Linked DNA regions of Caenorhabditis elegans. The protein of the gene in region 1 purifies or fractionates together with the protein of each later gene. This does not show direct contact. Each region holds a gene or a part of one and is shown in the gene's direction. Other genes may lie near its edges.

Evidence for each region.
Region 2: the proteins of zyg-1 (region 1) and sel-10 purify together in Caenorhabditis elegans (affinity purification with western blotting, with the first as the bait; one study listed by BioGRID). This does not show direct contact.

Annotation. Positions count from the first base shown.
Region 1 is NC_003280.10:5,647,748-5,651,502, forward strand, and holds the start of zyg-1 (putative serine/threonine-protein kinase zyg-1), read left to right. Parts: upstream 1-2,000; 5' UTR 2,001-2,026; coding exon 2,027-2,059; intron 2,060-2,114; coding exon 2,115-2,207; intron 2,208-2,288; coding exon 2,289-3,104; intron 3,105-3,187; coding exon 3,188-3,555; intron 3,556-3,646; exon of another isoform or gene 3,647-3,691; coding exon of another isoform or gene 3,692-3,755. Other genes in the region: ddl-1 (WASH complex subunit homolog 3), read right to left, coding at 1-33, 83-127; sam-4 (BLOC-1-related complex subunit 5), read right to left, coding at 441-662, 781-988, 1,035-1,327; F59E12.17 (Anaphase-promoting complex subunit 13), read right to left, coding at 1,382-1,537, 1,611-1,694; bli-2 (Nematode cuticle collagen N-terminal domain-containing protein), read right to left, coding at 3,692-3,755. UniProt on the Caenorhabditis elegans protein: Protein kinase that plays a central role in centrosome duplication, control of centrosome size, spindle formation and nuclear envelope breakdown during cell divisions.
Region 2 is NC_003283.11:13,817,276-13,821,030, forward strand, and holds the start of sel-10 (F-box/WD repeat-containing protein sel-10), read left to right. Parts: upstream 1-2,085; 5' UTR 2,086-2,089; coding exon 2,090-2,179; intron 2,180-2,244; coding exon 2,245-2,312; intron 2,313-2,354; coding exon 2,355-2,451; exon of another isoform or gene 2,452-2,574; intron 2,575-2,685; coding exon 2,686-2,820; intron 2,821-2,868; coding exon 2,869-3,014; intron 3,015-3,062; coding exon 3,063-3,182; intron 3,183-3,242; coding exon 3,243-3,635; intron 3,636-3,755. UniProt on the Caenorhabditis elegans protein: Probable substrate recognition component of SCF (SKP1-CUL-F-box protein) E3 ubiquitin-protein ligase complex, which mediates the ubiquitination and subsequent proteasomal degradation of target proteins.

The DNA of each region.
Region 1 (3,755 bases):
TACTGCTGTACGGTGATGATCGATCGGAGGAACCTTAAAAAATTTAGCTTTAAAGTTTTATGATGAGATTTTAAGATATTACCTTGTTCAAATCGATTGCAGGTTTGGTTCTGGAGCTCGCATTCATTGCTGGTGATCTAAAAATTAATTAATGATGCAATTAATTACAAGAAATGGAAATATGAAAAAGGCACAAACCATATAAGTTAGATTCAAAGTAAATTAATTAGATTAATTTGCGAAAAATACTAGAATTTATGATAAATTTAGAAATCAAAATAGGATTGACGGATAAATATGTGCATGAACTAAATAAAAAATCACAAAACGGCAATGGAATTTTGATATTGCGAGAAGAAAGTGAGATAAAGCCTTCAAGACTTTTTGGGAAGGGCGATAGGGCAACAGATTCAAGAAGAGAATAAAAATTTACAAATTAATTATTTTGGTAGATCAACTACGCGGATTTCTTCAATCGGCTCAATTTGATCAATATGACCAATATTTTGATTATGGCGGGGCGTACTTTGAAGTGAGCTATCACTGCTTGGAACGGGAGATCTGTCGAGCACTGAGCCAAGATTAAGAGGAGGAAGACGTTCGTCGGGAGTTAGAATTTCATTAAGCGTTTCAACCATTGGCACAATATCTTCAAGAATTATCTGAAAATTAATTTTTGATAAACGGAGCAAGTTTTTTGAGCAAAAATGTAAGGTGCAACATTTTAAAAATCAATTTTGGTATGATGCATTAAATATTGTTTCTTTTTCTAATTCGCACCTGAATACTACAGATGTCATCGTGCAATTGATTAAGTCCGCTCAATGCAGCCATAAAACCGTCATGTTGTTCTTTATGAGCTCTTGTTTCTTCAATAAGTCTGATCATTTTCGCTTCAACACTCTTGCAAGTTGCTGGAATTTTAGCTTGATCTGCTGCCACTGCTTTCGCATTAACGGCAAAATGTTCTTGTAATCGTGTTGCTAGTCTGAATATGTGACTTTAAAACTTTGAATAAAAGGAATAAATCTTACCGAAAAAAGGGCCGCGAACTGATTTTTTGATGAGTGTAAGAAGCTCCTTGATTCGTTTGTGGATCTCGTTTGCCTATTACGGCTGGAATCACCGGCAAAAAACGGGGAATTTCGGTGAATCTTTTGTAAATTTCATCATCTTCGAGTTTTTCTTGAGGAATATTGCCATCTTTGACCGTGATAATGCCTTTTGATCGTTTAGTACTGGCTCGAGTGAGAAATGAAAAAGACGACTGTTGATTTTGAGGATTAGATGATGTGCCCGCTGTTGACGAGCTTTGTTCGTTTCCCATCTGAAAATTTGTGTAAGAAGTTAAAAAATTACATCAACTTTCACAAACCTTGATTTAATTTTTTGTACTATTGATGGTTGGTCCCATTTGAATTTGATCCAAACCAGTCTCGTTCCAGGTAGTGTTTGGGTCGGCGGGCTGACGAGCAATGGTGGGAATTGCGTCGGTTTCGATATCTGGCTCAAACTCGCGCGGAATTTGAATCTCGGTCTAAAAATGAATAATTTTAATTTCAATACTTACGGGTTTTACACTTTAATTATTCGAAAAGCTTGTCACAAACCTTTGGCAGACGCTGGAATATCCACTCTTTGTCCCACTCTAAAAATGTGTGATCAAGTCGAACTTCTGATGGGACGAACGACATACGATGGCTTTCTCCGAAGTTTCCTTATCCTGTAATCAATAATTTTATGTATTTTTAATCGGAAACGTTTAAAATAAATGGAAAACTCCAAAAAGGAATAAAAAGAAAAATTGTGCAGACCTGGAGAGCGCGTTGAGTTTGAACACATTACGAAACGAGAGACGCAGAGAAAACCGATAACTGAACAGTTGCGCTCTACTGACAGACGACCGAAATATGAATTCTAGTCCCTCGGCCGCCAAAACGGATTTTTCAAACTCCAAATTTATTTTTCCTATTTTTTGTGTTTTTTCATCTTATTTTTAGCGCACCAAGTGTTGATCAACTATGAGATGAGCGGTGGGAAGAGTGGTTCAAGATTGAGTGTAGGTATTTCTACTATTTTTGCCGATACCATGTAAGAATCTATATTTTCTTCAGGCCTATTCACATTTAAAAGAAATCGGGAAAGGTGGATTCGGCGTTGTATATGCAGCACAAAGAGAAAATGGAGAGAAGGTGGCGATTAAGAGGGTAAGTTTCATGCTGTTTTCTAAAGATATTCGAATGGGACAATTTTTCTACTTTTTTTCTTTACAAAAATTGTATTTTCAGATCGATAAAAAGGTGCCAAAAAATCGTGTTTGGACGGAAATTCAAACGATGAAGGAATTGAAGAAAAGCAAATATGTGGTCGAGTTTTACGAAGATTTCGTTGAAGATGGTTATACATACATAGTCATGGAGTTGTGCGAAGGAGGATCTCTTCAAGCTTATGTGCGGGAGCACGGAGCTCTGGACGACGCAACAGCAGTTCATGTTTTACGACAGCTGATTTCTGCTGTATCTTTTATGCACAGGGTGAATGTTATTCACCGAGACCTCTCGGCTGGTAATGTGTTCATCAAAGACTCGAAAAAGAAGAAAATGACGGTTAAACTTGGCGATTTTGGCCTCGCGACCACTCTTGGGCGTGGTGAGACCACATGTACAATTGTCGGAACACCAGGATTCATTGCTCCACAAGTATACGATCAAGAATATACCCAGTCTGCCGATGTATATTCTCTTGGTGCAGTTCTCTATACTATGCTCACTGCTCGTAATCCCCCACCTAAAGGACTACCACCAACCTGCGGAATGTCACCAAATGCTGCTAGATTAGTGGAACAAATGATGGATACAGATGCAAAGAAGCGTATTCCGTTAACGCAGATAGTTTTATCAGAGTTCATGTACGAGAATACGAATGAAAATGCGGTAATCTTCTCGAGAGAACACTCGCGGGATGGACGACGACAGAGATCGAGGGAACCAGTAAGATCCTCAAGAGATGATCGATCTCGAGATGGCAGAGCTCTGATAAGGTCTTCGAGTCAACCTGCACATTCTGGCAGAGCACCGCTGAGCAATCGACCAATTCATGACAGGGTAAGTGTTCCAGCAGATCACAAAAATTTTATTTTATTTTTGACAATTAAATGCATTAAAAATATATTACAATTTATTTTTAGATGCCTTCTACATCTTCAAGAGGATTTGATTCTGAGAGAGGAAGAGAACGGGATAGAGACAGTGGCCGCGGTACCGTACCTCCAAGCCGTGAAGATCGAAACCGTTCACAGTTGTGGCCGATCCGAATGGATAGGTTAGAAGGACAAAGAGTTTGTACTGCTGGAGGACGATATATTGTTGAATTGGATACTCGTTGTCGGTTTGAAGTTGCAGCTCAAGGGAATTTCGTTAAACGAATTTTGATTGTCGAAGTTGATGAAATGGTTCAAACGGTTTATGTACATCGAATACCTGATAGAACAGTACGCGGAAGAAATGGAGAAGAAGAATTGATTACGTTGACGAACAATCCTTTTGTTTATACTTCGTAAGTTAATTATTCTATTAAAAAACGGAAACGTTTGTAGAAACTAGTAACACCATATTTTGTCTTCTTTTCTAAATTTTTAGCTGAAATTATTTTAAAAACGTTCATTCCGCCAATAATTATAACAATGAACAATTTAATATCCTGGAGCAGTTCTCGGTGTTGGACAGTGTTCACATCCTCCTCCGGTTCCTGGTTCT
Region 2 (3,755 bases), on another chromosome or scaffold:
ATTAAATTGTGCCTAAAAGTAGTTTCAAAGTTGCATCCATTTTTGATGCTTCCACTTCAACTTTTGAACACACGTAGATTACCAGAATTTCAAATCGGATCAGAAAGTAAATACCGTAGTTCTTTTGTTGTAGGGGTGGGCGGTAATCAAGGAATTTTCTAAAAAATGTTCAATTTCGGCAATTTCTGAACATGCCGTTTTTCGATAAACCAACAAACAGATCATCATATTGTAATCAAAAAGTTTGTAAGTTGGCCATTTATATTTGAAAATAAATAAAGCTCTACAAAAATAATACATTTGTTTTTCTGAAATACCCATTTTTAATAATTTGTGGGCAACATATAATAGTCTTAACAACAGACTGAACACTTTTTAATTTTAAATCAGGTATACCCACTATTTCATTTTCTAGACACCATACCGAAAACCCTAAATTTTGGCAACACGTATGATGTTGGTATTTGATTTTATCCTTAAATTTACAATTAGAGCTCATTTTTATTCTGTTTTTGTTTCTATAGTTTTGCAGTTCAAATTTTAATTATAATGTGAAAATCTTCCAAGAAAACATTTTTTCAGCTTTCCAAAATCGTTCTACAGAAATTTCCGAATTGGTCAGGTCTCTTTCAACTAATCGAATTTTTTGACATACTGGAGCTGGACTAGTATCAAAATTGCCAAATTATTTTAATTTAATTATTTTCATGTTTCGTCGTCCTTTTTTTATCGAAATGATATAGGTAGAAAGGCGTGAAAATAAAAATATATTTCACGAATTTATTGTCTGATACCAACGTCATTCTTGAATAGATTTGGATTTTATTTCAGTTTTTATTTCACTAAATAAACATATCAAAAGTGTTGGAAATTGTGGCTCCTCCTGAAGTCGAACAATCGGAATTTCCGTTTTCAGAGAATGTAGGCTATTTCAAATAATCGTATTTTTCGGTTTTGTGCAATTTCTAGCATATTGAATATATATCTTGCAAATGTGATGTGTTGCTGACAAATATGAATTTTAACTTTCGCTGATAAATATCAGTACAATTTATGAATTGAATCCTCTCAATCACATCTCAATTCTTTCATATTCGTCCCCCCGCAATACAAAGCCAATAAAGTGTGAAAAACAAAGAAATGGAGCAAATAGTGAGCTATGACTCAACTAACGTATTTCAGATGGGAATTGCAGTTTAGTCATGAATGTGTTATCATATCAGAAATAGTTCTTGACATTTGTGAAGAAATATTATACAGAAATTCCAAAGCGATTGTTTCCAATTGTGGCAGGTGTTCGTGTCTCTTTTTCTGTCAGTTTATGGTATTCATTTCCATAAAATTACCCCCTCGGTAGCCACAGATGGTCATAATTCTTTTGAATTCAGTTATGGAAATACCACATTACGTTCAGAATGTTACAGATTTTAAATCATTTTTCTTTTGTGGTTGTAAATTGAATCACTTGTTTTAAAAAACCATATTACCTATATGTATTATTTTATTCAAAAACTGAATTAATATACTCAGTTTAAAATTTCAAAACAAGAGTTTTCGTGGGATGCAGTTCGTTTTTTAAATTCCTTATTATCCTGAAATTTATAAGGATGGTTTACTTGTGCAATACGAAACAACCTTTCCGTAAAAATGATTTTGAAACAAGGTTGAACACATTTTTCTGCACCATCATGAAGGACGAGAACCCAGCTGTCATATGCAACAGCAGTGACCATCGAACACCTGCTTCTTCTGTGAAACTGATTATGTGACCGACAAGTCGGACATTTTATATTTTATTTTACACGAGAATATTTGTTGAAGTTATCTTATCAACTTTATACACTTTATATGCATAGAAAATGTTTCATCGTGTGAACATCAAGTGAACAAACGTGCGCGTCGGAAAATGCGTCAAGCGGTTATTGGCGCACTACTGGATGCCTTGACGCATATCGCGTGCAAAAAGCTTTCATCTTCTCTTCTCATTTTCTCACGAAAATCATAGTTTTATCGACTTTCCTTTTGTGTTCAAATTCTTCATTCCCAGTAGTTTTTGTCCTTTATTCATTTCCAATTCTTTTTCAGCCATATGTGGCCACGAAATGATGTACACATGGATGATGGATCGATGACACCGGAGGACCAGGAGCCTGTTACCGATAATGATATGGAATATAATGTATGTTAACATTTACAACCCTTTTCAGAATATAATTTAATTCTAATTGAAATGTTTGTCTTCAGGACAATGGAGAAGAAAGCTCGTACAGCAATGGCTCTTCTTCCAGCTACAATGCTGACAAATTATCGTCGTAAGCCTTTTTGTAGTGAATATTTATAGCAAAACGTACCAGTTCCAGACCTTTGCAACACAAACTTGATTTATCGGCTTCTCCCTCTCGAAACAACGACCTCAATCCGCGTGTCGAACATTTGATCGCATTATTCAAGGTAAACATATTGATTGATTGTCGCGATCAATCTTTCAGCGTTGCGGCTAATACACATGCAATAAATTAATATTTGAATGCGACAATAATTAGTAACATGACAAAACAATGCATTCAAGCTCCGGTGAGGGTGACCTGTGTATTATTGATTTTTCCAAACCTTGAAGAGAGCACCTCAGCCAGGCATATTCGCTCTATTTTTGCTGAAAAAAAGTGTAATTTGAATTCATTTTAGGATCTATCAAGCGCGGAACAAATGGATGCATTCACACGTCTGCTTCAGGAATCCAACATGACAAATATTCGACAGCTGCGTGCCATTATTGAACCCCATTTCCAGCGTGATTTCCTCTCCTGCCTCCCTGTCGAGGTATTTGTGTTGAAACGGAAAGAAAAATTATAAATATAACTTTTTCAGCTCGGAATGAAAATCCTTCACAATTTAACCGGATATGACCTGCTCAAAGTGGCACAGGTGTCGAAAAATTGGAAATTGATATCTGAAATTGACAAAATTTGGAAGAGTCTTGGTGTCGAAGAGTTTAAACATCATCCAGATCCCACGTAATACTTTTGAACGGGAATTATTTGAGATTAGTATTATCTTTTCAGAGACCGAGTTACTGGTGCGTGGCAAGGAACTGCAATTGCTGCTGGAGTCACTATTCCTGATCACATTCAGCCATGTGATCTTAATGTTCATCGATTTCTAAAGTTGCAGAAGTTTGGAGAGTACGTTTATTGGAAATATTATTTTTAAAGACGTTCCGATCACATTCGATTTATTTTCAGTATCTTCGAACGCGCTGCTGACAAGTCACGTTATCTTCGAGCCGATAAAATTGAAAAGAACTGGAATGCGAATCCAATTATGGGGTCAGCAGTGCTACGAGGACACGAAGATCATGTAATCACTTGTATGCAAATTCATGATGATGTCTTGGTGACTGGATCTGACGATAACACTCTTAAAGTATGGTGTATTGACAAAGGAGAGGTTATGTACACACTAGTCGGCCACACTGGAGGAGTTTGGACATCACAGATTTCTCAATGCGGAAGATATATTGTTAGCGGGTCCACTGATAGAACTGTAAAAGTTTGGAGTACTGTAGATGGTTCACTTCTTCATACACTTCAAGGACATACTTCCACTGTTCGATGCATGGCTATGGCTGGTTCCATGTAAGGCTATTCACTATGATAACTGCTTGGAAAAAGAAATTTAATACTGAAAATTTCGGGTTTCGTACAGTTGAATTCCCTAATTTGCGAGCTATATCAAATCTTGATGGAAAGTTTTTG